Lepisosteus oculatus: one gene and its partners. The protein of the gene in region 2 purifies or fractionates together with the protein of the main gene of each other region. This does not show direct contact. Links are inferred from orthologs where the notes say so. Each region holds a gene or a part of one and is shown on either strand. Other genes may lie near its edges.

Evidence for each region.
Region 1: the proteins of irak1 (region 2) and irak3 purify together in Homo sapiens (co-immunoprecipitation; 3 studies listed by BioGRID and IntAct, with this or other methods). This does not show direct contact. The link is inferred for Lepisosteus oculatus from reciprocal best matches to the Homo sapiens genes IRAK1 and IRAK3.
Region 3: the proteins of irak1 (region 2) and peli2 purify together in Homo sapiens (affinity purification with western blotting; 7 studies listed by BioGRID and IntAct, with this or other methods). This does not show direct contact. The link is inferred for Lepisosteus oculatus from reciprocal best matches to the Homo sapiens genes IRAK1 and PELI2.
Region 4: the proteins of irak1 (region 2) and stip1 purify together in Homo sapiens (affinity purification with mass spectrometry; 3 studies listed by BioGRID and IntAct, with this or other methods). This does not show direct contact. The link is inferred for Lepisosteus oculatus from reciprocal best matches to the Homo sapiens genes IRAK1 and STIP1.

The regions. Positions count from the first base shown.
Region 1 is NC_090702.1:24,395,185-24,402,774, reverse strand, and holds the start of irak3 (interleukin-1 receptor-associated kinase 3), read left to right. Parts: upstream 1-4,547; 5' UTR 4,548-4,899; coding exon 4,900-5,023; intron 5,024-6,184; coding exon 6,185-6,367; intron 6,368-7,590. UniProt on the Homo sapiens protein: Putative inactive protein kinase which regulates signaling downstream of immune receptors including IL1R and Toll-like receptors.
Region 2 is NC_090697.1:75,465,882-75,473,858, reverse strand, and holds the start of irak1 (interleukin-1 receptor-associated kinase 1), read left to right. Parts: upstream 1-4,959; 5' UTR 4,960-5,096; coding exon 5,097-5,292; intron 5,293-7,977.
Region 3 is NC_090703.1:10,179,969-10,187,913, reverse strand, and holds the start of peli2 (E3 ubiquitin-protein ligase pellino homolog 2), read left to right. Parts: upstream 1-4,923; 5' UTR 4,924-5,215; coding exon 5,216-5,292; intron 5,293-7,945. UniProt on the Homo sapiens protein: E3 ubiquitin ligase catalyzing the covalent attachment of ubiquitin moieties onto substrate proteins. Involved in the TLR and IL-1 signaling pathways via interaction with the complex containing IRAK kinases and TRAF6.
Region 4 is NC_090713.1:22,892,587-22,900,456, forward strand, and holds the start of stip1 (stress-induced-phosphoprotein 1), read left to right. Parts: upstream 1-4,867; 5' UTR 4,868-4,961; coding exon 4,962-4,982; intron 4,983-6,516; coding exon 6,517-6,726; intron 6,727-7,706; coding exon 7,707-7,848; intron 7,849-7,870. Other genes in the region: ADP-ribose glycohydrolase MACROD1, read right to left, coding at 994-1,089, 2,237-2,618. UniProt on the Homo sapiens protein: Acts as a co-chaperone for HSP90AA1. Mediates the association of the molecular chaperones HSPA8/HSC70 and HSP90.

The DNA of each region.
Region 1 (7,590 bases), on a different chromosome or scaffold from region 2:
CCTCGCTGTGCTCCGTCCCTGGGTTCAATACTGAACCGGGAGGTGCTATCTATGTGGAGTTTGTATGTTCTCCCTGTGTTTGCATGGGTTTCCTCTGGGTGTTCCAGTTTCCTCCCATAATCCAAAGGCATACTGGTAGGTTAATTGGCTTCTGGGAAAATCGGTGCAGGTGTGAGTGTGTGTCTGTGTTTATGTCTGTGTGTCTGCCCTGTGATGGACTGGCATCCTGTCCAAGGTGTATTCTGCCTTGTGCCTGTAGCTTGCCAGGATAGGCTCTGGCTGTCCTGTGACCCTGAATTGGATGAAGTGGTTAGAACATGGATGAATTAATAATATTCACAGAGCGAATCTGTACATTCATTGAAATGTAAATAAATTCCCAGCCTCAATACAATGCCCTACACTCCAATGACAGGCTAAAATAAGTGTATAATTTAGTTTGAAACACAGAAGATTATGAGGGCAAGTGATTCAGACATTCCAAATCCTCAAAGGAAGATGGATGAGACCCTTGGATCACTTAGTTACTAGCAACCAAATGAGCTAGATGGCCCACACAACCTTCATTTGTGTGTAAACGTCCTTATGTTCTTATGACAGCAGCGTGACCATCTTGTAGCCTGATCTTGTTAGATCTCAGACACAAAGCAAGTTGAGCCTGCTCAGTACTGAGACAGACGACCTGTAAGGAAAGCCAGGTTGTTGTTGAAGGTGACAAGGTGAAGGTGAAGGTTTAATGTGACAAGTGACACCCCTTGCACTGGATGGGAAGATGTTGCTGTCAGTGTCCCAGTATTGTGTAGGACGTATCATTGTTTGGAATAGATATTACATTGAGCTACGGATTGCTGGGGCTGTTCATGTGGGGGATGTGATCATGGTATCCTGGCACCAGAATTTTGCCATATGACCATACTTTCCCTACTTAATTTAACTAGTGAAGTAATGTTTCACTTCTCCACCTGAACTGCTGGCACAAAATGGCTGCCTGTGTCACCCACATGGATGTTGCCCTACAGTGGTGGATGAAGTGGGCCCCCTCCTGTATGTCAAGTATTGTGTAATCATTCAAATACAAGCAATTACAATCATTACCACTACATAAAATAAGCCTCAAGTGGGACAAAAAGCAATTGCTGTTCCGAACGTTGTGTAAACCTGCTTGAAAGACAAAGAAATCATCAAAAGGATTTAGTCATGTATTCTGAAATGTTCTGGGTCTGTTTTCTTAACAGGTCCATTTTCATTTCAGAGGGGATTTGAACACATTGTCGCATCTGAGACAAAGAAGGAGTGCCAGTTTGAACTCAAAATCCCTATCTCCATGCAATTAAAAGGATAATATTTTACATTTTAGAGCAATGAATCATTCTGGATCATCTGGCAGATCTGTGCAGCTTCAAGTCAAAGTGAAGCTGAAGTGCCACAGATGGCAACTGATGTTCTTCTAGTCTGTTCCAGCAGGGGGCTGTGCTGCATAATATTTAACTGTAACTTTTCAGTCTTTCAGCATCTAAATAACTAACACCAACAATGGAAAGAAGCAATCATTTGAAACATTGGAAATTCTTATTCCATGGGTACCCCTAAGAGCCAGTCAAGGAGGGGATAAGTAGATATTTACAAACATAGACAGCCAATATTTTAAGTCAACTTAAAAAACAGCAGATTTTTTTTTAAATCTTTTCAAAAATAGACCCTTGGTCAAATCTCTTTCAAAAGTGATGTTTGATTCTTGGAAAAATATGCTTACATTGCTGTTTGGACAGTTGTGTTGTCAAAGGTCTTGTTTCTGTCTTTGCTGTGATAGTCATCCTTTTGTATCATAAAAGGGAAGTGTAATGGGAAGGGAAACCACCAAGAAAAAAAATGATTTTTTTTTGTCCTCACATGGCTTCCCTTTGCAAAATGAACAGACCTTAAAGGTAGTGGCTCCCAGAGTTTCCTGCTCCTCTTTCAGCAAACATTGCTTATCAGGTGAAAGTCCCAAGACCACTAGTGTAAATGCCAGAGTGAAAAGTGAAAATTAAAAATAGATGCAGTTAGAAAATTCAGAGGCACTGAAAAGTACTCTAAAAGGTAGTAGGCAAACTACCCACCCATGTTGTTGAAACCCACTGACTCACAGGAAACTGAAGCTACTAGTAATGAATTGTGTGAAATATGCCAAATGACCACCCTTTTTTTTTAACATTTCCTTTGTTTTGTTTTCTGTGTGTTAGCAACAAAGCATATGGGTGAAACAAGGCCTTTATATAGGCCAAGACCTGAATGGAAAAACATCTTAGCATCCATGAATCTAAAAAATAAGCTAGCTTAATTTAAAGATGAAACCCTGGACAAATATTGTCTTGTATGTCCTTTAAAGTAAGAAATTAGGTAAAATTAGAACAATACTTGTTCCATGCTTTATGGAGAATATAAGGAAAAATATTTTTTGATGCTTTTTATTTTTATTTAAAATTATACTTGAATAAACTGAAAGTCATCTCAGTGGCCTACTATCATTTTCTGTGATTTGAATCTATTTGTCTTGAAAAGGATAGCTCCTAGTTTAATGAAAATGTGTTAAACACTTCAATACACATTTTCTTCAATAGGAATACAGTATATTAGTAACCCAGGCTAGAATACGAGTGTAGCACAGATAAGATTCAGCACCACTCCAGACAGAGCAGATTGATGAGATGGGGAACCCTGATCCCTTACCCTCCATTACATGGAGCAGTTATTCCAAAAAGTACAGAGAAATCTGTAGTCAGATATTTTGTTGAAGGTTTTACTCTTGTAAAACCCATATCTTCTTGTGGAGTTCCTGCTCACTAGATTGATCATGATTTATGGGATACACTTAACCTGAATAAACAATGATCAAATATAAAAGTAGTTTGAAGTTGTAAATAAAACTTTTAACCATTTCTTGTAACTCGTAACCCTGGATACAGATCTATGGAAAAGATTTAGTTTTGTTTTAGTAATGTAGAAAAGAGAAATGAATCCCACTTGCCTCATACAACTGTCACTGACTCCAGTGGTTTGTGGAATAAGTCTTAGATACGCAAGTAATCAAAACACTGAATAAGCAAGCCCCCATTTGAAGCTAACAAATGTCCCCTTGAAAGCAAATGGTGTGGACCCTGACATACACACATACTGTATATAATTATGAATTATCTAACTTTGAAGGTCCTAGAATGTGTTAGATGACAAATAAGGCTCTCAGATTTAATGGGAGGCAATCAGCTACCATGCCTTGCTGATGATCCTGTAGTGAAGACAAAAACAGGACAGCCCTGGGCTGAGGTTTTACATCAGCTCTTTATATCCACTGACCTTCCTGCATAGTGATTGCTGTCAAATGATCTGTTTTGTCTTCTTTTCAACTGACAGGGCCATCCAGTCATTCGGGAACCTTTTACAAATATTAAGTGCATCTTGTACACCGTCAATGAGGGTGGCAATTGGTGTCACTTAAAAAAACACCTCTATTTCGCTGATAAAATCGTTTTATTTCTCTGCTGACCAAGGGTATAAGAAAAGTCACTGATAGAAAACGTGAAAAAAGGTATAAAGTAGCAGGACACTGTCATCAATTGGCCATTTCTTCTTTTAAGCACACGATTCTTTAACGCAGCACTTTCTATTTGTTTTAAAATGCGTGTCAACTTTCCCTTCATGCTTTGACCCCTCTACACCTCATGGGAGCCCTGGTCAATTCGTTCAAGTACTACATTTGCACTACTCTTGATCATTCTTATTCTGAAAAAAAAAATACAAAAAAGCATGTCTGTTATGAACACGATAGAGAGAAAGAGCAATACATAATATTATTGTAGTGTATTTGCATTACAGTACTGTAGTAGCATTTCAGAAAGAAAAATTCCCAGCCTATTCTCAGTTGTGACCTCTAGATCTATTTACTTCTATTTAAATACTTAATCAACCAGAAAAGTCAATTGAGATCAAATTCTCAGTTGTTATGCAACAGGACGTGTACTGGCAATTTTAATAATTGTCTTCATAACTGTTATGTGTACAAATATATTATGAAAAATACAAGTATTCCCCTGAAATGAACCGCCTGTAGGTTCGAGAGAGAGAGAGAGAAATGACACCATCAGTGTTTTTGTAAAAAAGACGAATTTCACCTGAGGTAATCCATTACTACCATTTAACGAGGTCAATTGTAAAATGAGAAATGCTTTCTCATTGGACTTATTTTGGTTAAAGATTGTGTTTCACTTTAATTGGGATATTTTGGTCCAGTATAACGTCCTTCTCAAATTACTTACGATTGGAAAATACATGATAGAAGACTGATCGGTTGAGAAATTTTGGATACACTTCGAGAGGAAAATAAATTCTCCACCAAAATCCCATATTTGATTGTAGTGTCCAGCCTCCTAAAGCCTTGATTTCGCTTCTCAGCTGATGGAGCAACTTCATGCTTTTCAGTGAATGACAGCTTAGGGTGAGTAATGTATCGACGTCAAAATGGAGGTTCCGCTATTGCTCAATTTCACAAAGGCGGAAATATTTTCATTTTAAAATAGGACGTTGGCAACAGATAAATGGAGATTTCCATGTAGACTTCATAACAAATATAATAAACCAAAATAACAAAACGATGATGAGATACAGTAGCAGTTCCATGTAAACCTCCTACAATTATAATTGGGCTGTACATCTCTGATACGTTTCCGCGATTTGTTTCTGGAACACCAGCTAAGCTGCAGTTTTACTTACATTTCATAGGTGGAGCTTAAGGCACTTCTAAGTTTCTGTTGTTAGCGCAGGACCTGGAGACGCGTGTTATTCTGGAGTACTGTACTACTCAAAAGGATGTGTTTATGAAATTGAACGTGAACGGCAGTCCTAACAGATTGACAGTGCAATACAATGGCAGGTAAAACAGAGTGTTTGAGTCGTATGACATTCCTCTTCGACGTCCCCCCATCCGTGATGGAGAGGCTCTGTAAAATCATCGACAGCGGTGATGGGGACTTCGGCTGGAGAGGGCTAGGTAAGTCACCAGAGAATATTGCCTGGTAATTATCCGTGACTCTCGGGAGACGTGCAGCAGCACCTTGCAAACAGGAAAATAGGATGGAGTAGAAATAACGTCTGCTAACACAATGACTAGAAATAAAATAAAATTGTGTGATGAAAAAGAATGAACAACATTATGTCTTTCTACTTTTCAACTACATGATTTCCTCAGTTATATCTGAAGAAGGCACAGTTCGCATTTTTACTTCGTCCCAGGAGTATTATCGACTATCTACTTGATGGTGACTTTAAGTACAGTAGCACTACTGGAAAAAACATTTGTTTTGGTAAATAAATAATGTAGATTGTTGAGAAGCTCAAAATGACCTCCAGTAAATTGCTTTCTGATAATGTTACTGTCTAGGAATGAGCTTTTCATAAATGTTGTAGACAACAATATCCTAAAATCAGTTATTTTTCTAGCAGCCAGAGATAGATAAAAGTAGAGATTCCTCTACTTTTAAAAGTTTCATAACATAAAACATAAAAATGCCTTCCCACAAAAATAAATACTGAAACGATTTTTCTTGTAAAAAGGTTACAATGAAAATGTTTTACTAAAGTGAATGTTGTGTAACAGGAGAAAAGTTTAACCAAGTAGGTTTGTTCATCATGAAACTGTATAACTATAGACCTATAAAGCAACATTTAACTTCCCCATTTTAGAAAGTCCTGGAGTTGGCACACATAATGAACCTGAAAAAGAAAAGTAGTTTGGCATTGTATGTAGAAATGGATTTTGATTTTGAAATAAGTGTTATATGTACTTAATTGAAAAAGGGTATTCAGAATTGTGCAAATGCAGTTAATCTACAGTGTTTCTGTTTTACAACTAGATTTAGAACCACGCAAATTGCATTTTAAAAGAAAGAGACAGACTGGTCAAATTAAAAGTATGGAGAGGAGAATTAAACTTCTTTATATTTGTTTTACAGAATCAAGATTGTTTTATTGTGTTTTAATGTACAGTAGTACATTAGTAGTACACTACTCACCTGTCTCTCTGTTTTTTGTCTTGCTCAGTAACTTTATCACCTGTTTTCTCAAAAATGTGAGGCTGATGTAACTGGTGTTGAATCTGTTGCCGCCGAGCTCCTTTTGGCCCACTGAAGTGTTTTTTTCTACTGCCTGCTAGCGGCCCGTATTTTGCCTGACTGGCTAGAGGTGCGCTACATGGAGAAGGTGTGTGCGCAGGGCAAAAGCCCAACCCGGGAGCTGCTGTGGAGCTGGGCTCAGAAAAACAAGACCGTGGGAGATCTGCTGGAGATCCTGGAGGAGATGGGGCACCAAAGGGCAGTCCAGCTGTTCTTGCCCCAAGGTATGCTTCCTGTCCTGCACAGGGCACTAGTCAAAGACAGCAGGCGCTCCAGCGGCGCAGCATGACAGCACTGATAATGACATTTGAGGTCACCCATGGAACTTATTTGCACATCAAGTGCATCGGCCTTTACTTCGCTTCTTCTACCCTTTTCACTTCCTGTAACTGTGTAATAGCTGTTAAGTTTGACGTTAGGTGTTATATTATTCAAAGGAGGTGACTGCATGTGTTCTAGTCACCTCCTTAATTTTCACTTCTGCTTCTGCATTCAGCTATATCAATTTATCAGCCACAAAATCCAGAAAACAAACCACAGACTGTTCAAGGTCCAGTAGTGCAAGATGGTTAATGTGAAACACTAAATAAGGTAGGGGAGTTTAAAGTTCCTCAGTAGCCTAGCGTCATGTGCTATAGAATCCATCTAGAGATTTATGGGTTTTACCAGTGTCACACCAAAGTGATTCTATGTGGATTGGGTTCTCACGGGAAGGATAGATTAGAGAGGGCAGAAGATTCTTCTTTGACTCTGCCGATGACACGTTAAAAATATTTTTACTTACTGTAAATCTGTTAAAAAGCCTTTATTCAGAAAATTTAAACCCCTGGGTAATTTTGGGAATATGATCAAACACATTTTATTCATAGGTCTTTATTGTGTTCCATCTTGTGCTCTGCATAAAAAGGGATCATTTGCATTATAGCTGTAAGGCAAGGTGGTGATTTAATCTGTTGTATGTGAGCCTGGTGAAAATCAAGAAATAAAACCTCAAACAGCCAGCGGTTTCTATCCTGGCAAGATAATACAACAAAAACACAGTCCATTGATGATAGGCCATGATCAAGGAAACCACAAGTCACATTTCTTGCCAAGAGCGGTGAAGAGATCTGGGTTTGATGGTTTGGGCAAGTGTCTAGTCACTACTAAACTCCACTCATAGTGACTGATGGCAATCCATCTAAATGGTGCTACAGTACATTTTTTTTTGAGCTACAGTACATTGATCAGGCCTTGGGACCTTATCCTAATGGGACAGTATTCCTGCTGGGTAATGCAGCCTCATATTGCTCATGTAAATGCGCCTTTCTTGTGAGATAAGAATGTAACAATTTGCGACATTTGAAGGATGATCTGGGGGCATCTAGAGATCAGAGGCCAGAGAACTACAGTATAACATGCTTTTCCATTGGCAGAAATAGGACAGAATCACAAGACAGCATCTGCA
Region 2 (7,977 bases):
CGCCACTGACTTCACCGCTGTGCGAAGGGACATGAAAACACGGGTCTTTCGCGACCTCTCCTCTAGCTCTGCAGGCAAAGCGGGCGGACTCAGCCCTCAGAGCCCGTGCTGTCCCCGGCCTGTGGGTGGGTGGACGGCTGCCGTGTGGAAGCGGACCTGCCGAGTGGTCGTTGTCGGTGCTGTAACTTAATTAATTGCTTACACTTGTATTATTTATTGCTTAGTCTTTTATTGCGGACAAGTGCAAAGTCTGCATGAGGGCATAAAAAAAAACTCTACACACGAAACAGGACTCGCTGAGCCAGAAGAAGGCTCCACAGATTTTGACGGGAAACCAGTGCAAGGACTCCAGGACAGGAGTAATGTGATCGCTTGCACTAGACCTTGTCAGGATTCAGGCTGCCCAGAAATTTGCTCAGAGTAGATTTTGATACCCCTGCGAGTAGAGCATCAGCTTTTCAGCCACAGTTAGTGATAACATAGGGCGTAGTCAAGTGATATTTCTGAGGTGAAAAAATATGTTTTGACAATATGCTGCACATGTGGGTCAAATCTTAAACCACAATCAAATATCACCCCAAGGTTTTTCAGTTTAGACTGAAGCTCAAGTACAGAGCCATCTACAGACAGGGTTACAGGACTGGCTTTACGAAGTCGATGGGGGGTACCAATAAGCATGACTTCTGTTTTGTCACAGTTAAGATGAAGGAAATTTTGAGTCATCCAAGTTGTTATGCCAGAGATGCAATTAGATAGAATAGAGACAGCCACATCAGTGTCAGGTGTGGTATGGATGTATATTTGAGTATCATCAGCATAGAAATGAAAGCTGAGGCCATGTGATCTTAGAAGCTGACTAAGTGGAAACATGTAAATGCTGAAGAGCAAGGGGCCCAGTATTGAGCCCTGAGGAACACCAGACTTGACAAGACCAATTTCAGACCTACGCCCATTAAGAGAGACAAAGGGACAGCGATCAGTGAGGTAAGACCTGAACCTTTTGAGAGCAGCGTCAGAAACTCCCAGCACAGTCTCAAGACGAGGAAGTAAGATGTCACGGTCAACCGTGTAAAAAGCTGATGAGAAAGACTTGGGTATTTACGTTGACTTATCATTTATTTCTTCTAGGCAATGTGGGGACGCTCGAGAGGTGTCACGTTAAACCTTTGCAAGGCACTAGTGAGACTGCTTTGAGAACACTGTGTGGAATTTTTCACCAGGTTACAGATCCATCCTTCCATTTTCTGACCTCCTTATCCAATACAGGGTGGCGGGGAGGAGCCTGGGGTCAGTTTCAGTTTTCTGGTTGCTTTGGGGAGTCGGATTGATGAACTGCTGGCCCGCAAGTGAGCCAGTCGGGTCGAACCCCTGTTCTCAGGTTCGTTCTCCAGCCCTTCTGCTCGACAGGGCGAGGCAGAGCACGCAAACAGCGCCACGCCACTCTGGCAGCAAAATTCAAATCGCAACAGCTTTATTGGCACGACCGGTCCATGACAGAAAATGCCGGAGCCGATAGAGTCAGTGCAACATCTGCGGACATTCACAACACTGACACACAGACACATCCTAGGACCGTCAGGACGACACACGACGCAACCACCTCCCTCCTGCTGCAGACCGCGGAGCGCGCCTGTGACGAAGAGCGCGGGGGGGGTCGCCGAGCTCTTTTGGCAGTTCGCGCGGGATGCACTCAGCATGACTCAACTGCTGCCGCTGCTGCAGCAAGAACAAGCACACCATTCAAGTGGGTGGGAGAGAGAGAGGCGGGGGGGAGGGGGGGGGCTCGGTCTCCCCCTCTGTCAGCGCGCCGCTATTCAGGTCGCTTCCAGGCGGCCCACACGGCTCGGATGACAGTTTACATCCCCGTTTCTTAGAAAGCTCTGCTGCACAGAGGCCCTGCGCGGTTCCTCTCGCGCTCTCAGAAGAGCATGCTCTCTTATGAGCCTTTACACTGCGTGGCTGTAATAATAGCAACAGCAGTAACGATCTGCCCTCTGTGCTGTGCCCTGCCTGTCTTCACGGCTGGCAGTGAGCTCACCCCGTTTCAGCATGCGGTTTGCATCCTGGGTTGTTTCTAGCTCTGTATTAATTTAGCATCATTGTACATCAATAAATGAAAAATATATGGATCCCGCCGGTAAAAGGTCTGGAGTGCAGTACAGCGAGAGAGATCATGAAAAGGCAAAGCGCGTTTCGCCAAAAAGTGTTGACTAAATGTAATAGGAAGTTGGGTTCATATTTTGCACGTGTGCTCCTGGATTTTTTTGACAGCCTGCCTGTCTATTATTTTATTGATGGGTGATCATGGAGGCTGGCATGGTGGCACAGCAGTTATTACTGCCTACGGCTCTGGGGCTCCGGGTTCAATTTTTGGGTTGCTGTCTGCGTGGAGTTTGCATGTTCTCCCTGTGTTAGCGTGGATTTCCCCCGGGCGCTCTGGTGTCCTCCCACAGCCCAGGGACATGCTGGTGGGTTAATTGGCTTCTGGGAAAACAGGTCCTGGTGTGAGTGTCTGTGCCTGTGTGTGCCCAGCAATTAACTGGCTTCCCATCCAGGGTGTATCCTGCCTTCGCCACCTGCCTGCCGGGATAGGCTCCGGATTGCGACCTGAATTGGATATAAAGTGGGTGAAGAAAATGCTGATGATTATAGGACAAGGTACCTAAACAGCTCATCCCCGTTTCTGAACCCCCTCCCTATGCTCGTCCTTCTGTATTCCTAGATTGCTTTGATGGGATTGAGGCCAGAGCATTAATCTCAAATCTGCATTTCTCCCTGTGTCACGGAAACAGCTCTTTGCACCCCTGGCAGCATGCTTCAGAGCGCAGTCGGGCCGGAAGCAGAGGTGCTGCACCCCCACATGTCTTCTCCAGCTGCGCAGTTCAGTCTGGACTCTCCCATTTGTTTTTCCAGCCAAAATCGGATGACAGACAGGACCACCAGCTATTCCTTCACTCTTTTTTTTTTCTCGTATCACGTTTAGCACGTGATCAGCTCTCTTCACAGTCCAAGGTGCACGTTGCCATAAACAGCAGAAACAGAATGATAAGCTGGGGGTACTGCGGAGTTCTCGGTATTGGAGATTCAGTGTACAGCATGAGAGGCAGAGTCTCCACACTTGAAAGTGAATTCTGCCATTTTTCATTTCCTGTCAGCTCTGCTGTCCGGGGGACTGTGTCGGCTTCACTGCTTCTTCTGCTCTGTTTTCCTCTCCAGGGGTTAACAGCTCTTTGACGTCGACAGACACATGAGATTCGAACCCACAACCCTTACTACTCCTCCACTCTCAGCTACTTTGCTGTACCCCTCCTGATGTCTCCGATTCCCAATTCCTGGACCTCAATGGAATTTCTGTGCTGTCTGATTACTAATTGCCATTGATTGCTCCTTAAAAGCATTTAGGGGTGGAATTCACTCCAAAGATGTTAAATGAAACGTTTCTTAACACAAATTGATTTGAGAGCTAAAAATGGTTTCTGCTTTACAGACGGCATCTGTATGGACATGATCTGTGAGACCTCACAAATATTTTGACTCTCTGCAACATTTAATTAGTGTTTGCTGAAATCAAATCAATCAATCACGGCATTTCTGTGGATGGTTCTGGGGCGCGAGAGAGCTTGTTATAATAATAATAATAATTGCTTACACTTATATAGCGCTTTTCTGGACACTCCACTCAAAGCGCTTTTACAGGTAATGGGGATCCCCTCCACCACCACCAATGTGCAGCCCCACCTGGATGATGCAACAGCAGCCATAGTGCGCCAGAACGCTCCCCACACACCAGCTCTCAGTGGGGAGGAGAGCATAGTAATGAAACCAGTTCATAGAGGGGGATTGTTAGGAGGCCATGATTGATAAAGGCCGATGGGGGAATTTGGCCAGGATGCCGGGGTACACCCTTACTCTTTTCGAGAAACACCCTGGGATTTTTAATGACCACAGAGAGTCAGGACCTCGGTTTTACATCTCATCCGAAGGATGGCGCCTGTTTACAGTATAGTGTCCCCATCACTGTACTGGGGCATTAGGGTGAGCGCCCCCTACTGGCCCCACTAACACCTCTTCCAGCAGCAACCTTAGTTTTTCGCAGGAGGTCTCCCATCCAGGTACTGGCCAGGCTCACACCTGCTGAGCTTCAGTGGGTTGCCAGTTGTGAGTTGCAGGGTGATATGGCTGCTGGCTATATCACTGTTGTTATCTTTAGGTGTGGTTTTTCCAATGACAATAAAATCTTTGGAGCATTACAGCATATTCATAAATATGAGTAAAAATAAAAACATAAATGCTATTTCTAGTTCAAGCCACCCCACCTCAGAAGACCGAATAAATGGACATATATGTTATTCGGAAATGGGAGTCACTTTATAATAACAGGTAGCTTGTGATGGATCAATTGGAAATTTGGTGTTTCTTCCTGCAGAAATACATCTCATGCCCAGTTTGGAGTCTTAACCGGCATTTTAACTCACTGTTGTACTTGGACTATTACCTGTGACAAAAATGGTCGCTGGTGACAGTTACAACACACCCAGACACTATGTGGAGGCTGAAGCGGATATTTGAAATGAACACTGATATTTCACAGCACAGGGTGCCCATCTGTCTGCGGCAGTTCTCCGTATTTTACGACACCAGTTTCAATCCACAACACGATTCCAGTGGGCCTGAGAGCACTGTGTTACGTCGAATGTCTTCCCACTGGAACACGCCTCAAAATCAGCATTATTATTAGTAATCTCTCCGCTATGATTCTCTCTCTATATATATTTTATTTTTTTGAGGGTGAGAGAGCGGTACGTTTGTAAACATGTCATGGTTGGGATTGAGCTGCGAGAGGACCGACCGAGACGGGAACGCAGCGCCTTGAGATGTCGCGTATCCCTGTGCCCGGTGCGCCACACTCAAGATGGCGTTTCCGGCCAGGACCAGGTTTCCATGGTTTCCGAAGCGCGTTTCCGGAGTCCTCCCCGCCTCCTCGGAGCCCAACCAACCCCTTCGAAAGAAAAAAAAGTCCTTCTGAGTCTTAAAGGGGAAGTGAGTCAGTAGCGTGGAACCTCGCAGATGGAGTCGCCGCCTCCGCCAGCGGAGCGATGGTTTTGGACGGGACCGTTGTAAGTCCGAGGAAGGCGCTGGCCACTTCTCCCGGAAACCGCCCGGAGCCGAAGCAGACGAAAATGTCCGCCGGGAGTATCGAGGGGCAGTACCTGTACCGCCTGCCTGCGCACATCACGACCGAGTTCTGCAAGGTTATGGACAGCCTCGACAGATCGGACTGGCTGCGTTTCGGTGAGTTAGCCCCCGTCCGAACTGGCGGTCCCGGTGCGGGACCGGCGGGGGTTGGTCCGTCCCGGGACTAGCCGGCTAGCGGCCGGTGTCTAATCGGCTTCCCCCCGGGCTGAGCTGTGCGCTCTTGCGGCGCACGGAGTGAGACAGAGTGGCGGGCTGGGCTGGGCTGGGCTGGGCTGGGCGGGACGGAACCGAACCGAACCGCTCCGTTTCGGACAGGTCCACGACACCAGGCGGTCCCGTTGCAGTGATCATGGGGGGGGGGGGCAGCAGGTTAAACAGGACCGGGGTCTGTACAGTGTGTATGGTGGACTTTCCATTCTTAAACTCGCATTCAAAGGCAGCAAAATCGGATTGATTGCCGAGTTACAAGAAATTATGTTAAAATACGATGTCGCGTTGTTGTTGTTGTTGTTGTTATGGGAGCTTCCGTGGCGCTGCGGAGCTCAGGCTGGGGGACTTGAAGATCCCGACTAGAGGGGTTGCGCAAGTGTGTTACAGAGCGCTGCTCCGGGTCAGAAGCGGCGCTTTCTGCGCTCTGCAGCGCTGCGCCGGTGACATGCCTTGATTTTCACTTGCGATCCGGGCACTGCGTGGTGCTCCACGGCCTGAACTGCCGTCTCGCCGGCGCCCCGGTCCCGTGGCACTACAGGGAACTTCGGTTCCCCCTGAGGCCGGGACGGGTCCGGCTCCGGCCCCGTCCACATCGGCCCGGCTCATCTCGCCTCCCTCCCCACGCGAATTCTTGGCATTCCGAGCGTGGCGCATTCCACGGAGCCTGCGTGGAGATCCCCCCCCACACCTCATCCATCCCACTCCGGTCTGGTCCAGTCCAGTCCGGTCCGGTCCATGTTCACTGTGGCCAGTGGTCCCCTCCCGGCTACATGACCGTGGCTGAGCAGAGATGGACAAGCTGCAGGTCAGTTCCTGCAGTCAGGCCTGCTCCTGGCTGCCGGGGTCAAAGAGGAGAGGGCTGACCACTCCCCCCACCCCAGAGAGCTGGAAGCAGAACTGGTCACAGGGTGCCGTGTTTCGAGACATGAACACGGGGTGTTGAACATGGTAGAAAGGGGAAGTGTGCCCTTCAGCACCCCTGGTGCTCTGTCTCACGGTTCAGCAGTGCGTAGGGGTCTGGGTGAGGCAGCGGCAGTCTTCTTTTAGGCCCGGTGTTGCCACTTTGCCCCTGATAGGAGTTGCAGTGCAGGCTTCCACTTCCCTGTCAGTGACCCTGATCAGTTCTCAGTCCTGTGGACACATCCAGGAGGACCTGGTGAGCTCTGAGCCCAGAGTAGGATTAAGGGCGGGTGTGTCCAGTCCTGGTCCTGCAGGGTCAGTGTGTGTCTGCAGGGGGTCCAGTCTGGTTCTGTAGGGTCAGTGTGTGTCTGCAGGGGGTCCAGTCTGGTTCTGTAGGGTCAGTGTGTGTCTGCAGGGGGTCCAGTCCTGGTTCTGTAGGGTCAGTGTGTGTCTGCAGGGGGTCCAGTCCTGGTCCTGCAGGGTCGGTGTGTGTCTGCAGGGGGTCCGGTCTGGTTCTGTAGGGTCAGTGTGTGTCTGCAGGGGGTCCGGTCTGGTTCTGTAGGGTCAGTGTGTGTCTGCAGGGGGTCCGGTCTGGTTCTGTAGGGTCAGTGTGTGTCTGCAGGGGGTCCAGTCCTGGTCCTGCAGGTCGGTGTGTGTCTGCAGGGGGTCCAGTCCTGGTCCTGCAGGTCGGTGTGTGTCTGCAGGGGGTCCAGTCTGGTTCTGCAGGGTCAGTGTGTGTCTGCAGGGGGTCCAGTTCTGGTCCTGTTGGACTGGTTTGTCTGTGGGCTTTGTTCCATCTTGACTTTGGTCAAAAACAGGTGTTGGGGTCCTCTGAACGAGGATGGGGAACCCCTGACTGGCTCACACGCAGTCAGCTGACTGGTTTTAACACACAGGTGGCTGCGCTGTCTCAGGAGCAGTGATGTCAGTGCTGTGTGCCCCTGAGAGAGGACCTGGCTGTGCCTTAGGGGAAAGTTTGACTATTTTTATTCCTTTTGCTCAGGCATAACGACACTTTTTCCTCCACATCCCATAGTGTTGCGAGGAGCTAGCTGTGTAAATTCAGTATAAACGCAGTGATATTTGTCTGGATCCTATGTTTATCTTGCATTGGGCTGGTAGAACAACGTATATTACTTTGTAAGCTGTATGTCTCCTGTAGCAGATTGAGAATAAATGTCGCAGCGCCACTGATGAGGGCTTCAACATCTCCCCTCTCACTCCCCCCCTCCATGTACCCCCCCCTCACGCACACATAGATAAGATAAGATCACCACAGACAATGTCTTACATTAGGAATTGCTGACCCTGCTCTCCAGGAGACACACAGACAGGGAGAGAAGCTGGGGGTCAGAGCGCAGGGTCAGCCATGTATACGGCAGTTGGAGTTAAGGGCCTTGCTCAGGGGCCCAATCCTCTGCCGGCCATGGGATTTGAACCGGCAACCTTCCAGCCACAGGCGCGGTTCCTGAGCCACAGAGCCGCTGCTCCGCCACACTCAGGGGTTTCAATCGGAGTGTCACAGCCCGAACCGGAAAGGTCAGGTTTTAAAATCCGGGCTGATCTGAGTCCTCCCGTGTCTTAACCGGCGTTCAGCTGTGTTTCAGGACTCAGACTCAGCAGCTGCAGCGATCGTGCTGGGCTGTGCGTGCGTGCGTGGGGGGGCCGGGC
Region 3 (7,945 bases), on a different chromosome or scaffold from region 2:
CGCAGAGACCAGCATGCCCAGCTCTGCACAGGCTCCCTCTCTACCACACACGCACACACACACGCACACACAGAGACACACGCACACACAGAGACACACGCACACACAGAGACACACGCACACACAGAGACACACACACACACACACACAGAGACACACACACACACGCACACACGCACACACAGAGACACACACACACACACGCACACACAGAGACACACACACACACGCACACACAGAGACACACACACAGAGACACACACACACACACACAGAGACACGCACAGAGACACACGCACGCACACACAGAGACACACACACACACACACACACACACACACACACACACACACACAGAGAGAGACAGGCCTTGCAGGCTCCCTTCCACTCTGAAGCAATGACCTGCACAAATTGAAATTGATCTGCTGGTTAATTACCACATGGAAGACAAGGGTTGTGGAGGGGAGGAGATGGGGCAGATGGGTTTAAAGGTCTGTGAAGTGTGGGCAGCTGTGGACAATGGGAGGGAGCGAAGTGGGAGCTTGTTCTAACAATAACCCTGAAGATATTTTCAGCTTAATATAGGAAGAGACAAATTGTGTCACAGTTTTTAAAAGGGAGGATCTTCATGAAGGGAGAAGCGCAGAACGTATTCTGATCAATGAGGACCTTTTACTTATGTATCTGACCTCATTATGCACTCAGATGAACTGATATATCTATCCCCATGCATAAAGGGGGGGATTTTTTTTTTTTACAAAAGAACTTTGAAACATGCCCTGCTGAAAACCTGCTCTCCAGCTGGACCGGAACGGAGCACCGTGCAATGTGTCACTGACAGTGAAGAGATGTGCTTTACCTGCAGCAAACCTCACCGTCTCAGAGTACGGGCAGCAGATCCTGATCATCTACCCATGCTGTACGCATCAGTGTCTTACCACAGGCAGCAGATCCTGATCATCTACCCATGCTGTACGCATCAGTGTCTTACCACAGGCAGCAGATCCTGATCATCTACCCATGCTGTACGCATCAGTGTCTTACCACAGGCAGCAGATCCTGATCATCTACCCATGCTGTACGCATCAGTGTCTTACCACAGGCATCAGATAATGATCATCTACCCATGCTGTACGCATCAGTGTCTTACCACAGGCAGCAGATCCCGGTCTATGCATGGTTTTTATTCTAGCTGAGCCATCAGTTAATGAATTTAAGTGATTTATTTATTCATTCTTTTGGGATGTTAATAGTTGGTCATCATTTCCAGACACCTACAAGATTTTATCACTACCTTGACACCTTTACTTTTTAGGACCCAAAAACTAGAAGAGAAAACCCAAGAACCCTTATGAGGTTTCATTTCAGTTATAGCTCAAGCTGAAGTGTAATACAGAAAGGCAGTGGGGTCCTGAGGAGCAGATTTGGGCATCCCTGCTGTAGATGTACATGTTCAGGGGTAACCACAGGCTGGGAAGTAATAGTGACATGTGACACTATTTTCCAATTGAAATCTGGAATCATGCTCTCTTTCCAATTATGCCCTGGGAAAACAGTCAGGTCAATGATGCTTACTGATGCCTGGACCTACACTATCCGGTTAAAATAACTGAACCTTTTTTAGTTTTGAACAGAGATCTGTATTCAAATTCACCGAAGGCTCTGACAAAGTCAGTCCAGAAACAACAGTGAAAGAGGGAAAGAGGAACCAGAGGTTAGAATGTGGAAGCGCATTTAAAGGGGTTTGAAAACAGGAACAGGGTGCGCTTCTGTGTGCAAATAGCTGTGGGAGTTTTGAACAAGCTACCCAGCAGTGCCGACTGGATCAGGTCCTTGGATCAATTAGCTACTAACTACAGATTACCTCGATGGGCTAAATGACCTCCTTTCATTCGTAGATTTTCTTACAATTTTAAGACGTGTCAGAGCTGGAAAGAGTATTTCTGTCAGTGTTTTTAGATTACATTAATCTTATCAAATCTAGTATCTGTATCCACCTTTCTGTAATTGTTTTTAAGAAACGGGACAACCATACCCAAAACAGGAGAAGCCTTTAATACTTGGCCGGGGCTGCATCAGGCTCAGTCTGCGCTCTGGCTAGGATGTGTCATCAGTGGCTTCTGCCATTATAAAAGGCTCACTGGCTTCGTTGAAGAAGCAGCCCAGGACCGGGCGGAGTGCGACTGCGCATGTGAGGGAGTGCGAGGGGCTTCACGTGGGTGGAGAGCAGGGGGCCGTGGGGAGGGGGAAGTCAGGGTGGGGCTTCTGGCTTTGTGCTTGTGACAGACCTGCTGACTGAGAGAGAGAGAGAGAGAGAGAGAGTTTCAGCAGCCCTCAGCCCAGCATCTGTCCTCCGCCCACTTACTCCTCTCCTCCCTGTACCGGGACTCAATCACAAACATTCCCGTGCCGGACCTTTTCTGTCGCCGCTCCAGTGTTATGGAATGCCCTTCCTTGGACTCTACGAGACAAAGACTTTGACTCTCTTCCAATCCAAACTCAAAACGCACTTTGTGTTTTACTTGTTTTCCCCCCATTCTGTATCAACATGTATGCTCGTTTTTCCTTTTTTTTTTTAAAGCTCACTTTTATTAGCCCTACACAATTTCTTGTATTAGGAATTTGTCTTATTGCAGACCCCAGCTTGCTCTCCATGAGACCCACAGACGGGGAGAGAAGCTTGGGGTCAGAGTGCAGGATCAGCCATTTATACGGCGCCCCTGGAGCAGTTGGGGTTGAGGGGCCTCGCTCAGGGGCCCAATGGAGCAGGATTCCTCTGTGGGCCACGGGATCCGAACCAGCAACCTTCCAGCCACAGGTGCAGGTCCTTAGCCACAGAGCCACCGCTCCGCCCCAGTTTTACCACTATGTACATCATGCTTGGAAAGGTGCTTTATAAATATAACCTATTACTATCACTCCTTTCACCCCAGACTCGCGGCCCAAAAAGAAACAAGAGCATGAGAACAGTTGCATACGACAAGGATGATGTCTGGCAGGCACGCCGTACCTGTGGGGAGTTAGTAACACATTGATCCAGCCGTTTCTCACAGGAATCCAGGGCATCAGCTTCAACCACATGGCTGAGCGGCCCGTCCCAGACTCCCGCCACTCTCTGTGTCAGGAAAGTGTCTCCTGCCCCCACATTTAAGTGCACGTCCTCTCAGTTTGCACTGCGAACCCTGTTCTCCTGTTCCACTGCTGGATCCGAAGCTTGAGGATTGTGATCACCAGCGCCTGGTGGCTCTTTGTTAGGCTGATTTCAGGGCAGCATATTTTTTTTTTAACATCACGACAATAATTGGACACATTTTTGCTTTATTGCATCTTACAGTTTAAACAACATCACTTGATTACAATTCTGCGTTTCAACTGCGTTTTTATATGCGCACATTCTGTTGGTGCTTTTTCTTGCTGTCCCACGTCGTCAAGATGGTGAAAATGATTTCTTTTGAAGGCATTCCTCAGTGCTTAGTGCCCCCGTCTTACATTAATAGTTTATGCATCTGCTGCCTCCAACCTCTTGTTGTGACTGTTTTTTCCTGGTTAGTCTCTTTCACTAGAAAGCCTCCACACACCTGGAAACCTTGAACACACAAAGCTTCTTATAACAGATTTGGTTGTTTTAATGTGTGTATGGTGCCATGTTCTTCAACAGCACAGCTCATCTCCCGACAGGCAGGCTAGGCTGATAATGATCACGCCGCTCTGCTTGCTCCTAAACGGGCCATTAGTTCTCCTCATTCAGCAAGGGCGTTTTATTTATTCTGATACACTGAAAGTCCATAAGCAGGTTTTGTGATTTTTAGCATAAAAAAAACATGTCACGATCTCCTCTGTAAATTGACAACAGCTTTTGCAGTGTGCACGGGGTGCCGGATTTAATGTTATCTTAGTCGCAAAATGCCTTAAAAACTATCGGTCCCATCCTATCCAAGTACATTGTCTCCAATTCCGTCTTCTTTTATTTCTTTGGGTAATAAAAATATTATTAGAAACTTTTTTTTCTTGCTGATCGAGACCAGGTTAATCTCCGGTCCACAGGACATTCAAGCGATTTAAGGTATTCTTTTAGCTCAGGGTGTTTTTCCTGTTTTATACCTGTTAACTGTACCTTCACAGGATTTCATTCAGCAAAATCTCACAGCACCACTGTGGCCCCGCCCCCCGTTTGAATGGTATAGTCCAATAACAGGCTGGAGTACTGGAGACACCCCTCCTGACACACCCAGGTGGTCACACCCACTCCTAAGAAGCAAGACTAAGCTTCAAACCAAAACTCCTTTCGCGCTACAAGTCACTGATCTAAATAAATATTTTCAATTTTAAGCACCCCCCCCCCCCCCCCGCTCCCTATTTATTTCCTTCAATACTCTCGCAGGGCTCTGTCTTTTTTTTTTTTTACAACTACCTCAATGAATCCTAACTGTTGTCCTACTTCACTAATGTAAACCATACGTTCTCTGCTGGGCTAGGCTTGATAGACCCCCTTCACCTGTGAAGCCGCTGTATTGCCAGTTCTCTTCGAATAAAATAACCCGGCAGAAAAATAAACGGCTTAGAATATTTTAAATTTCCCACATGACAGAGGGCAAGAGGTTTATCTCTTTAAGAATCCCCTCTCTTTTACTCTTTGTTTACATAACAGCAGGGACCAACCTCGCACCAAGAGTCAAGAATGTGGAGAACTAGAGGGGGGGTTAAGGCAAAAGAAAACCCCATATTGCGTTGCGTATAACTAATAACGGAGAAAAGACGTATAATTATGAGAAATAATGCTGCTTTAAATATAAAACACTCTATACGAAGGCGCGTTTTGGGGAAACGTCATTGTTCAAATGAAAGCCTGCTCACGCTTTCTCCCCCTCCGTGAGCAAGGTGTGGTCGATGGTACATCCCGCCCCTGCTCTGGGCTGTTTTTGTGTCGCTGTTTCAGAGCCCATCCAGCGGCCAAGTGGAGAAGTACGCGGTGTAGTGGAGGCACTTCAAAACAAAAGTTTCTCCCTCGTTTTAGACGTTAAGCAGACGGGAGCAGAGCCGGCCGACTCACCGGAGAAACACCTCTCGGCGGACGCGGCGGCAGCTACACGTGACAGATGGCTCTAACCCACTCGTTGTGAAGGGTTTCCCTGCTCTCTCTGTGTGTGTATGTGTTTCCCCCCGCCAGCGGTGAGGACGACTGGTTTTTGTGAGCTGCGTAGTTTGCAAAAGCCTGATGTTTTCGCCGAACCAGGAGGAGAACTGCGCCCCCATTAAGGAACCGGTGAAGTACGGGGAGCTCGTCGTGCTGGGGTGAGTGGGGAAAAGACGGTTACAAGGTGGGGGATCCGTCGGCTTGCGGTGCTCCCGAACTTGGGAGAGGATACGTGCCGTACACATCACTCACTTGTACAGGACTCTTCCGCGCTGCGAGGACACAAACTCGGACCTGTTCGCGCATCCTAGCCACGTACCTGTCATCGCTGACAGGGCGCCTCTCGTCGCGACGTCTTCCCCCGGAGGTTAGTTGTCTGTTTTCGGGCAGTTCGAGGCAGAACAGTTGCCGGAGAAGAAAACAATCGCCTAGCGCGACCGACACGGGCGTCCCCCGTTCAGCCCTAAAAGCCATCTGGAGCGGCTGTCCGGGCGGCGAGCGAGGGGGGGGGGGCTCTTCTTTGGCATGTTCGGCCGCGAATAAAACGAACAAAAAAAAACCCCAAACAAACAGAAAAACAAAGAAACCGTTACCGGTTCAGTAAGCGGCTGGCGCTTCTGATTTCCTCGGTGGGTTAAACGAGGGGAGGGGGAGGAAACGCGGTTGGGGAATGTCCTCTGGAAATGTGCTCCCCAACGCACATTCCCGGGAATCGGGCAAGTCCCAGTTCGTGGGCGATCCGTTTGGAGCGGCAGGCGAGGCGTGCAGAAGTCGAGGATATTTTTTCTTTTTAGAGAGGCGCACACGTCGCGGTCCCAGATATTTCCGAAGCTGTTGGGCTGGTTGCGTGCGGATCGGGTCTTTCGCGGCGTGGATGTAGGTTACAGTAGTTGGTGAGGGAGAGATGGGGGGAGGGGTTGGGAAAAGTCTTAGCTACTGTACTAATCGCGGGATTTCTTTTCGTGAGCTACCTCGCTTGACCGTGTTTCTCTCCCCTCCCCAACCCGCTTTCCAGCGGTGGGTTATTGTGCCACGCCGTGTGCTTTCGAGCCCTCGCAGCCGGGATGTTAGTTTGCGAAGTGACCAAGTTCGCTATCCCTAACGTGGTGATGTGGAGGAATAGGCATCTCCCACATGAGGCGTCCCACATGATCGAGCTACCGCTGGGCCAGATTGGAGCAGCTCAGTTGAATCGAAAGTTCATGCCCTGTGGCCCTTATCCGATGTGTTAACCCCCCCGCCCTTATCGCATCGCTTTCGCGGTTATGTTGAAGTAGCACTTGGTATGAGGTGTGAACGCGGTGCCCTGGATACAAACGGCTGCAGATGAGCGGTGCAAAAAGGCCACCGACCCCCCCCATTACGACGCGTCCGGTGGTTCAGTGAGCTCAGGTCTAGCCGATGTGGAGGAGTTTGCGGGCCGGCCTCGATCCCTGGCGGGCTGAGGGTGCTGTGCAGGTCGGCGGCGACCGCACGGGCCGGGAGAAGAGCGGTCACGTGGAGCAGGCTCGCTCCAGAGCGAGCCGAGGTGATTCATACATGATAATTATCGCCAGATTATGCAAGCCCTAGGATGTTCCCGAAGAGCGCTAATGTGCTTCCTTTCCCGGGGATTAACATTTTCGGGGGATTTGATGCGAGTTTTAATTTTAGCACCAACCACCCTTCCTCCCTCTCTCCCCCTAACGAGACTAGGAAATGATTTGTCGTTCATTCCCACGCCGCGGTCCCGTCCGGCACCCAGACAGTTCGAAGTTGGCTCCTGTCGGTGTGCCACCAGCGGGATGTATTACTCATCTCTTTTCACGGTGTCTGTCTCCTCTTAATACAACTAGACAGAGCCGTGTGCGCTTGTTTTGTCTGTTCCCTGTCTTGTTATCCTAGAAATCAGGAAGCGCGGTTCTCTTCTATTTTTAGTGCACTCGGTACTCGGGAGTATGATTATCGGAGTCACTTTTAATGAGAGCGGGTAGACCAGCCTCACTGAAAACAGACAGCGGGGGGTTAGTTGTGAAGCCTGGTTTCTGAGACAGCCGGCTTTGCTCCTTGTCGTCTGACGAATCTAGTGCTCTCGCCTTAGATCGGCTGTTCTTTACCACAAGGGCATCACGCCTGATTTAAGATCTCTCGCAGAGAACTTCTTTTACGAGCTGGGGTGACCTCATTAACACATCAATGGGTAATAAACGATCATGTAAAGGAGTCCCACTTCTGCTGGGACAGTAATCTGCTAACGTGTTAAGATAACCTTTTGGTGAAGACGTGTCTCGGCTTGCGCAGAGTTTGTGATTGACCCACAACTCTTGTTAAGTGCCTGCTTTCCAGTTTTGACCTATTGAATTTAATTATCTGGGATGTATATTTTGGACCCATGAATTCCTATTGAAACTGGGCCTTTCAGTTTTAAAAAGATGATTTAATGTGATAATGTACATGAAGTGTGTCTTATCTGTGTGTGTGGTAGGAGTGTTAAAATTTCTTAAAATAAACCTGGAAATATGCTCACTCTGTCTACTCATAATGAACTTTCAGAATGAGTACAAGCTAAAACAAGAGCACTCTGCTAGATTAATCTAACTTTTGACCTATTTTGACTGTATTCATAAGGGGAGCCCAGTTTGTAGAATTGCTTGGCTTTCCATAGTGCCTGAAAACGTAAAACCCAAACTAAACCTTATGCAATTGGGTTTTTTAAAAAGGAAGTTCACAAGCACCGTGTACTCATGGGTTTGAAATGAAAGATTTAGTAGGGAATGCAATAATGCATTCAACAGTTTTGATAGCGTTGAATGCCTCATGAACCTAGTACAG
Region 4 (7,870 bases), on a different chromosome or scaffold from region 2:
GGGGCGCAGGAGGTTGTATTAAGTTACAGATGACATTAGTGGGGTACAAGAGGCAGTACGGGGGTACACAAGAGAGTATTATGTTGTGGGAGACTGATGATATTAATGGGGTACAAGAGGCATTAAGGAATACAGAACACTGGGGTATAGCAGACAATACTGGGGCGCAGGAGGTTGTATTAGGTAACAGATGACATTAGTGGGTTACAAGAGGCACCAGTGGGGTACAGAGCACAGTACTGGGGTACACAAGAGAGTATTATGTTGTAGGAGACTGATGATATTAATGGGGTACAAGAAGCATTAAGGGGTACAGAACACTGGGGTATAGCAGACAATACTGGGGCGCAGGAGGTTGCATTAGGTTACAGATGACATTAGTGGGTTACAAGAGGCACTACTGGGGTACAGAGCACAGTACTGGGGTACACAAGAGAGTATTATGTTGTGGGAGACTGATGATATTAATGGGGTACAATAGGCATTAAGGGGTACAGAACACTGGGGTATAGCAGACAATACTGGGGCGCAGGAGGTTGCATTAGGTTACAGATGACATTAGTGGGTTACAAGAGGCACTACTGGGGTACAGAGCACAGTACTGGGGTACACAAGAGAGTATTATGTTGTGGGAGACTGATGATATTAATGGGGTACAAGAGGCATTAAGGGGTACAGAACACTGGGGTATAGCAGACAATACTGGGGCGCAGGAGGTTGCATTAGGTTACAGATGACATTAGTGGGTTACAAGAGGCAGTACTGGGGTACAGTGCACAGTACTGGGGTACACAAGAGAGTATTATGTTGTGGGAGACTGATGATATTAATGGGGTACAATAGGCATTAAGGGGTACAGAACACTGGGGTATAGCAGACAATACTGGGGCGCAGGAGGTTGCATTAGGTTACAGATGACATTAGAGGCAGTACTGGGGTACAGCAGACAGACCTGGGGTACAGAGGAAGGGGTGCTCGTGAGGCTGGGCGTACCTGTGGCTTTCCAGGTGCGGATCTCCTCCAGGGACAGGAAGTCAGGGGTGCGATAGAGCTTGCGCCTCTCCTCCTGGCTGAGAGAGCCCAGGAGCTCTGGACAGAGAGAGAGACACTCAGTCACAGCTGAAGGGACAGGAGATCTGTCTGGTCCGCTCCAGGTGTGACAGTGCTGTCAGTCAGACTCCCAGTGCGCAGCAGTCTGATCCGCTCCAGGTGTGACAGTGCTGTCAGACTCCCAGTGCGCAGCAGTCTGATCCGCTCCAGGTGTGACAGTGCTGTCAGTCAGACTCCCAGTGCGCAGCAGTCTGATCCGCTCCAGGTGTGACAGTGTGTCAGTCAGACTCCCAGTGCGCAGCAGTCTGATCCGCTCCAGGTGTGACAGGGCTGTCAGTCAGACTCCCAGTGTGCAGCAGTCTGATCCGCTCCAGGTGTGACAGTGCTGTCTGTCAGACTCCCAGTGCGCAGCAGTCTGATCCGCTCCAGGTGTGACAGTGCTGTCAGACTCCCAGTGTGCAGCAGTCTGATCCGCTCCAGGTGTGACAGGGCTGTCAGTCAGACTCCCAGTGCGCAGCAGTCTGATCCGCTCCAGGTGTGACAGTGCTGTCAGTCAGACTCCCAGTGCGCAGCAGTCTGATCCGCTCCAGGTGTGACAGTGCTGTCAGACTCCCAGTGCGCAGCAGTCTGATCCGCTCCAGGTGTGACAGTGCTGTCAGACTCCCAGTGCGCAGCAGTCTGATCCGCTCCAGGTGTGACAGTGCTGTCAGACTCCCAGTGTGCAGCAGTCTGATCCGCTCCAGGTGTGACAGTGCTGTCAGTCAGACTCCCAGTGCGCAGCAGTCTGATCCGCTCCAGGTGCGACAGTGCTGTCAGTCAGACTCCCAGTGCGCAGCAGTCTGATCCGCTCCAGGTGTGACAGTGCTGTCAGACTCCCAGTGTGTAGCAGTCTGATCCGCTCCAGGTGTGACAGTGCTGTCAGTCAGACTCCCAGTGTGTAGCAGTCTGATCCGCTCCAGGTGTGACAGTGCTGTCAGTCAGACTCCCAGTGCGCAGCAGTCTGATCCGCTCCAGGTGTGACAGTGCTGTCAGTCAGACTCCCAGTGCGCAGCAGTCTGATCCGCTCCAGGTGTGACAGTGCTGTCAGACTCCCAGTGTGCAGAAGTGTGATTAACTCCATAGACCCCCTGCTCACACAGCCCTGATCTACAGTGGACCCTGGTTCCGGACGGACCCGCACTCTCACCTTTGACTCGTTCCCAGTCGCCGTCCGGCGAGTCCAGATCGATGGTGCCGCCGCCGCGCGCCGCCATGGCGCAGACCCGTCCGGTGTGCAGAGAGGCGAGACCCGCGGCACCGAGCGCCGCACCGAACCGGGCCGAGACCCGGCACACCAGCCACGCGCCGCCGGTCCGAGTTCGACCGGCCTGACTGTCTTGTCTACCCAGCGCTGGCAGCCTCCCTGCAGTCTGACGGCGGCTCGGCTCGGCGCGGATTCCGGCGAAACCCGAGCCCCGTTTCAGCTCGGAACCGAGCCCCCAACTCCAGATCCGGCTGCGGGACGGGACAGACAGAGAAAGTGTGGGGAGCTTGATCCGGGCGGCCAGGGATGAAATTTGAAACGCCATTCTCGCAGCGGTGCTCGGTTCTGACAGACAGGCGCTCCTGGGTCCGGGGATTCGGTTTCGCTTTGCTCAGACCAGCCCGCCTCTCGTGCGCACCGAGTTCAAACAGGAGCAGAGTCGCGCAAGGTCAACTCGCGGAGCTGGTGGCGCCGCAACGCTTCCTGGGAATTGTAGTCCCGCTGTAGATGTCAGAGATGTGGGTGAGGCTCAATGGCCACAGGCTGGCCATAGAAACTGGACACAGGCAGACCTGGCTGTCCAGAGAGGACAGGCTCAGTGACCACAGCCTGGACACAAGCAGACCTGGCTGCCCAGAGAGGACAGGCTCAGTGACCACAGCCTGGACACAGACACTGGACACAGGCAGATCTGGCTGCCCAGAGAGGACAGGCTCAGTGACCACAGCCTGAACACAAACACTGGATACAGGCAGACCTGGCTGCCCAGAGAGGACAGGCTCAGTGACCATAGCCTGGACACAGACACTGGACACAGGCAGACCTGGCTGCCCAGAGAGGACAGGCTCAGTGACCACAGCCTGGACACAGACACTGGACACAGGCAGACCTGGCTGCCCAGAGAGGACAGGCTCAGTGACCACAGCCTGGACACAGACACTGGACACAGGCAGACCTGGCTGCCCAGAGAGGACAGGCTCAGTGACCACAGCCTGGACACACACTGGACACAGGCAGACCTGGCTGCCCAGAGAGGACAGGCTCAGTGACCACAGCCTGGACACAGACACTGGACACAGGCAGATCTGGCTGTCCAGAGAGGACAGGCTCAGTGACCACAGCCTGAACACAGACACTGGATACAGGCAGACCTGGCTGCCCAGAGAGGACAGGCTCAGTGACCACAGCCTGGACACAGACACTGGACACAGGCAGACCTGGCTGCCCAGAGAGGACAGGCTCAGTGACCACAGCCTGGACACAGACACTGGACACAGGCAGACCTGGCTGCCCAGAGAGGACAGGCTGTGCTCCCACTTCTTACAACATAACATCACGTAAGCAATCAACAACAACAACATCAAATAAATAACAACTCAGCTAGAGTTCTTGCTTTAGATGTCTCATAAAATAACCAGCTTGTATGCAGGCAGGTTTCTGCAAACCAGATTCCCAAGGGTATTTTCAGAATACCTGTTATAAATACACGTTATCTGAATTTATAAATTCTTTAGAGCATACAGACGTTTAAAGCGCTCTACACTTACACAATTTAAATTCACACTTCTTTATTTTTACTTAGAACACTAAACACAACATCATTGTAAGTTGAATGTATACAAATGTTTTTACATTTTAACCAGGAACAACCAGAACGCCAGAAAGCTGGACATGGGACTCCAGTTGTTCCAATTTCACGCTCACAGAAAATAGTCAGTCAAACTTCAACCTTTTTTTCTGAGGAATTTCCTTCCCAGAGAAGGATACGTGCTTGTGAAGAATTTTAAAATGAGTGTGTTTAGTTTTTGGCAAGGTAGTCAGATCGTGGTCTAACAAGAGACTCGTCGTGTGCATCATCAAAACCCACGTTCTTCCAGATCTAAGGGGTTTATGGTCTCAGCCATCATCTCCCGGATGTTTTTATCACATTTCTCTATCCAAAATCATTCCCTATCTCGATTTCTAGTCCTGCGTTCACTACACCGCACGCCACTGCCCTAAGAAACGGATAGGATAGTCGTGGGGTATGAGCCACAACAGAGCCAATCTCCTGAAACCTACGGGTTTTAGTAAACAACACGCATTGTTTCAGTTTATAACAGCAAGACGGACATTTCCTGGTTAATTCCCGATCTTTCCTCCGTTCAGACACGCCCTCCTGTCGCCGAGGCTTGACAGCCAATGAGAAGGCCGGTTACTTCCACCGTGCCTTGCTCCATCCCACCAATCAGAAGCGAGGTTTCTCCGCAGCCGCCCTTTTAAAGTGCGAATTTTCTAGAACCCTGGCAGCTGATAGGTCGAGAAACTTCCAAGCTGCCCCCCCCCCCCCGATAGCCGTGCGTAGAAGAAGGTGGGCGGGTCTCCCCCGGCCCGGCCAATCCCAACCCTTTCCGCTCCAGCAGGACCCAATCACGTCCCCCTCCCTGGGTTGACGGACGGCCCTCGCCCTCCACTCGGGAGCGGGGAGCGCACCGGCCCGGCGTCGGCAAGGGGAGGCGGGACAGGACGTGGGCGACAGCCAATCCGCCGCGCCGGGGTCTGCGGACTGACGGGCGGGGCAGCCCGTGGGATGGCGGCACGGGCGGTCTCCCCGCCTCCCCTGCGCCAATGATAGGAGGGCGAGGGCGGGGCGGGGAGGCTGTCAGTTCGCAGTAGCTTCTGGAACCTCATGGCTGTTGCGATGGAGAAGGTGAGTTCGCCAGCGGCCGGGCGCCCTTCTGTGTCTTTTCTTTCCTTATCAGGCGCCCGAAAAGGCCGCCGTCTGGAAGAGCCGTGTGATGGCAGCGCGCCGGGTCGCTGGGGGCGGTGAGCCCCGCTGCCCGGGGCAGTCCGGGGGCGTGCTGGCTCCCCGGCAGGGGGGACCCCCCGCCCCGCGGTGCCGAAACCGGGGTCACTGCGGCGGCGGCGGCGGCGGGGAGCCCCGAGTCCGCTCGCGAGAGGAGGGGCCCCTCCACAGTGTTGTTGAGCGCCGTGTAGAGCTGTTTCCGGGGGCAGGTTTTGATTTGGGGTTTCTCTGTCCCGGGTGGGGGGTGGATTTGGGGTGCAGTGTGTCGGGCGTGACCCCGAATTCCCTCGTTCGTCTGGGTGGTGGTGGTGGGGGGTCTCGGGAATGGAGGGGGAGCGATGCGCTGTGTGGAGTCCGTGACCGTTTCCTTCGCGGGTGGGAGCCCCCCCCCCCAGCTCCCGGCCTCTTTCTAGAACCGTCTCTGCGAGAGGCTCTCCGGTCTCCGGGCTGGACGGGAGGCGCCGCTGTACACGGAGGGTGGTGGGGGTCTGGAACAGGCCGAGGTCGCGGGCGGTGGGTTTAGTCGCAGTCTGCGGGGCTGCAGCGGTCCCGGTCAGGGAGATCCTGTCCTGCTGACCCGCTGACCCCCGGACACCCCCCTCCTGCTGCCCGGTCCTGTCTTGCCCCCTCCTGGCTGGCCAGCGTGTTGCTCTCCCTGATCCGGGTCTGTGGCCGGGGACACTGTGTAGTGTGGAGTAGGTGTCCGTGTGTGAAGAGTCCATAGCCTTCTGTTCCTGTCCGTCCTGTCCCTCTCCCGGTCCCCAGTGCCCTCTCTCTGTCCCTCTCGCTCCTCTCTCTCTGTCCCTCTCCCGGTCCCCAACGCCCTCTCTCTGTCCCTCTCCCTGTTCCTCTCTCTTGCGGTCTGTCCTGTCCCTCTCCCTGTTCCTCTCTCTCTGTCCCTCTCGCTCCTCTCTCTCTGTCCCTCTCCCTGTTCCTCTCTCTTGCGGTCTGTCCTGTCCCTCTCCCTGTTCCTCTCTCTCTGTCCCTCTCCCTGTTCCTCTCTCTCTGTCCCTCTCCCTGTTCCTCTCTCTTGCGGTCTGTCCTGTCCCTCTCCCTGTTCCTCTCTCTCTGTCCCTCTCGCTCCTCTCTCTCTGTCCCTCTCCCTGTTCCTCTCTCTTGCGGTCTGTCCTGTCCCTCTCCCTGTTCCTCTCTCTCTGTCCCTCTCCCTGTTCCTCTCTCTCTGTCCCTCTCCCTGTTCCTCTCTCTTGCGGTCTGTCCTGTCCCTCTCCCTGTTCCTCTCTCTCTGTCCCTCTCCCTGTTCCTCTCTCTTGCGGTCTGTCCCGTCCCTCTCCCTCTCAATTCAATTCAGTTTCAACTCAAGGTGCTTTATTAGCATGACCGATGGGTACGATCGGTGTTGTCAAAGCAGATAAAAATAATGATAAAATAAAATAATATCTCCCTGCCTGTCCCTCTGTCCCCCTCCCCCTGCCCCCAGGTGGCAGAGCTGAAGGATCGAGGCAACCAGGCCCTGAGCGCGGGGGACGTGGAGCAGGCGGTGCGCTGCTACAGCGAGGCCCTGACCCTCGACCCCAGGAACCACGTCCTGTACAGCAACCGCTCGGCCGCTCACGCCAAGAAGGGCGACTACCAGAGCGCACTGCAGGACGCCTGCAGGACCGTCGAGGTCAAGCCGGACTGGGGCAAGGTGTGTGTGTGTGTGTGCGGTCCATACAGACCGGTCAGCGTGCGTGTGTGTGTGCGGTCCATACAGACCGGTCAGCGTGCGTGTGTGTGTGCGCAGTCCAGACAGACTGGTCAGCGTGTGTGCGCAGTCCAGACAGACTGGTCAGCGTGTGTGCGCAGTCCAGACAGACTGGTCAGCGTGTGTGCGCAGTCCAGACAGACTGGTCAGCGTGTGTGCGCAGTCCAGACAGACTGGTCAGCGTGTGTGCGCAGTCCAGACAGACCGGTCAGCGTGCGTGTGTGTGCGCAGTCCAGACAGACCGGTCAGCGTGCGTGTGTGTGTGCGCAGTCCAGACAGACCGGTCAGCGTGTGTGCGCAGTCCAGACAGACCGGTCAGCGTGCGTGTGTGTGCGCAGTCCAGACAGACCGGTCAGCGTGCGTGTGTGTGCGCAGTCCAGACAGACCGGTCAGCGTGTGTGCGCAGTCCAGACAGACCGGTCAGCGTGTGTGTGTGTGCGCAGTCCAGTGCGTGTCTCGGTGGGGCTCCTGGGCCAGTTCCCAAATTCTTTCTCTCATACAGACCAGTATTGCTGTTCTAGGCGCCCCTGGGGGTTTGCAGACAGACCGTCCAGTGAGACAGCAGGACAGTGCGCAGGGAGAGGGCGAGGGATGAAGAGTTCAGGGTGAGGTGTAACGCGGTCAGGGGGGGAACCCCAAGACCGGGGGCCCCCGGACAGCGGTGCGCAGGAGCCCGGGGCCAGCGGGGCCCTGCGAGGCGAGCGACTCCAGAACCCAGGCGACGGGCCCTGCAGAACCCGCTGGGCCGGCGAGGGCGTTTCGAAAGGCTTGCCCCTGGACCGGGACTGGTCGCCACTGCGGGGTCTCCAGCGTGGGGGAGTGCTGTTGGGTTTCTGTGGCGCTGGAGCAGGGCTGCTCCCGCCAGTGCTGCGGTTTCCGTAGTAACGTGCAGTAACCCCGCCCCCGCCCATCTGCCCCTGCAGGGTTATTCGCGGAAGGCGGCTGCCCTGGAGTTCCTGGGGCGGTTCGAGGAGGCCAAACTGACCTATCAGGAGGGGCTGAAGTATGAGCCGACCAATCAGCAGCTGAAGGAGGGGCTACAGAACATGGAGGCCCGGCTAGCAGGTACACTGGGAGAGAGTGTGGA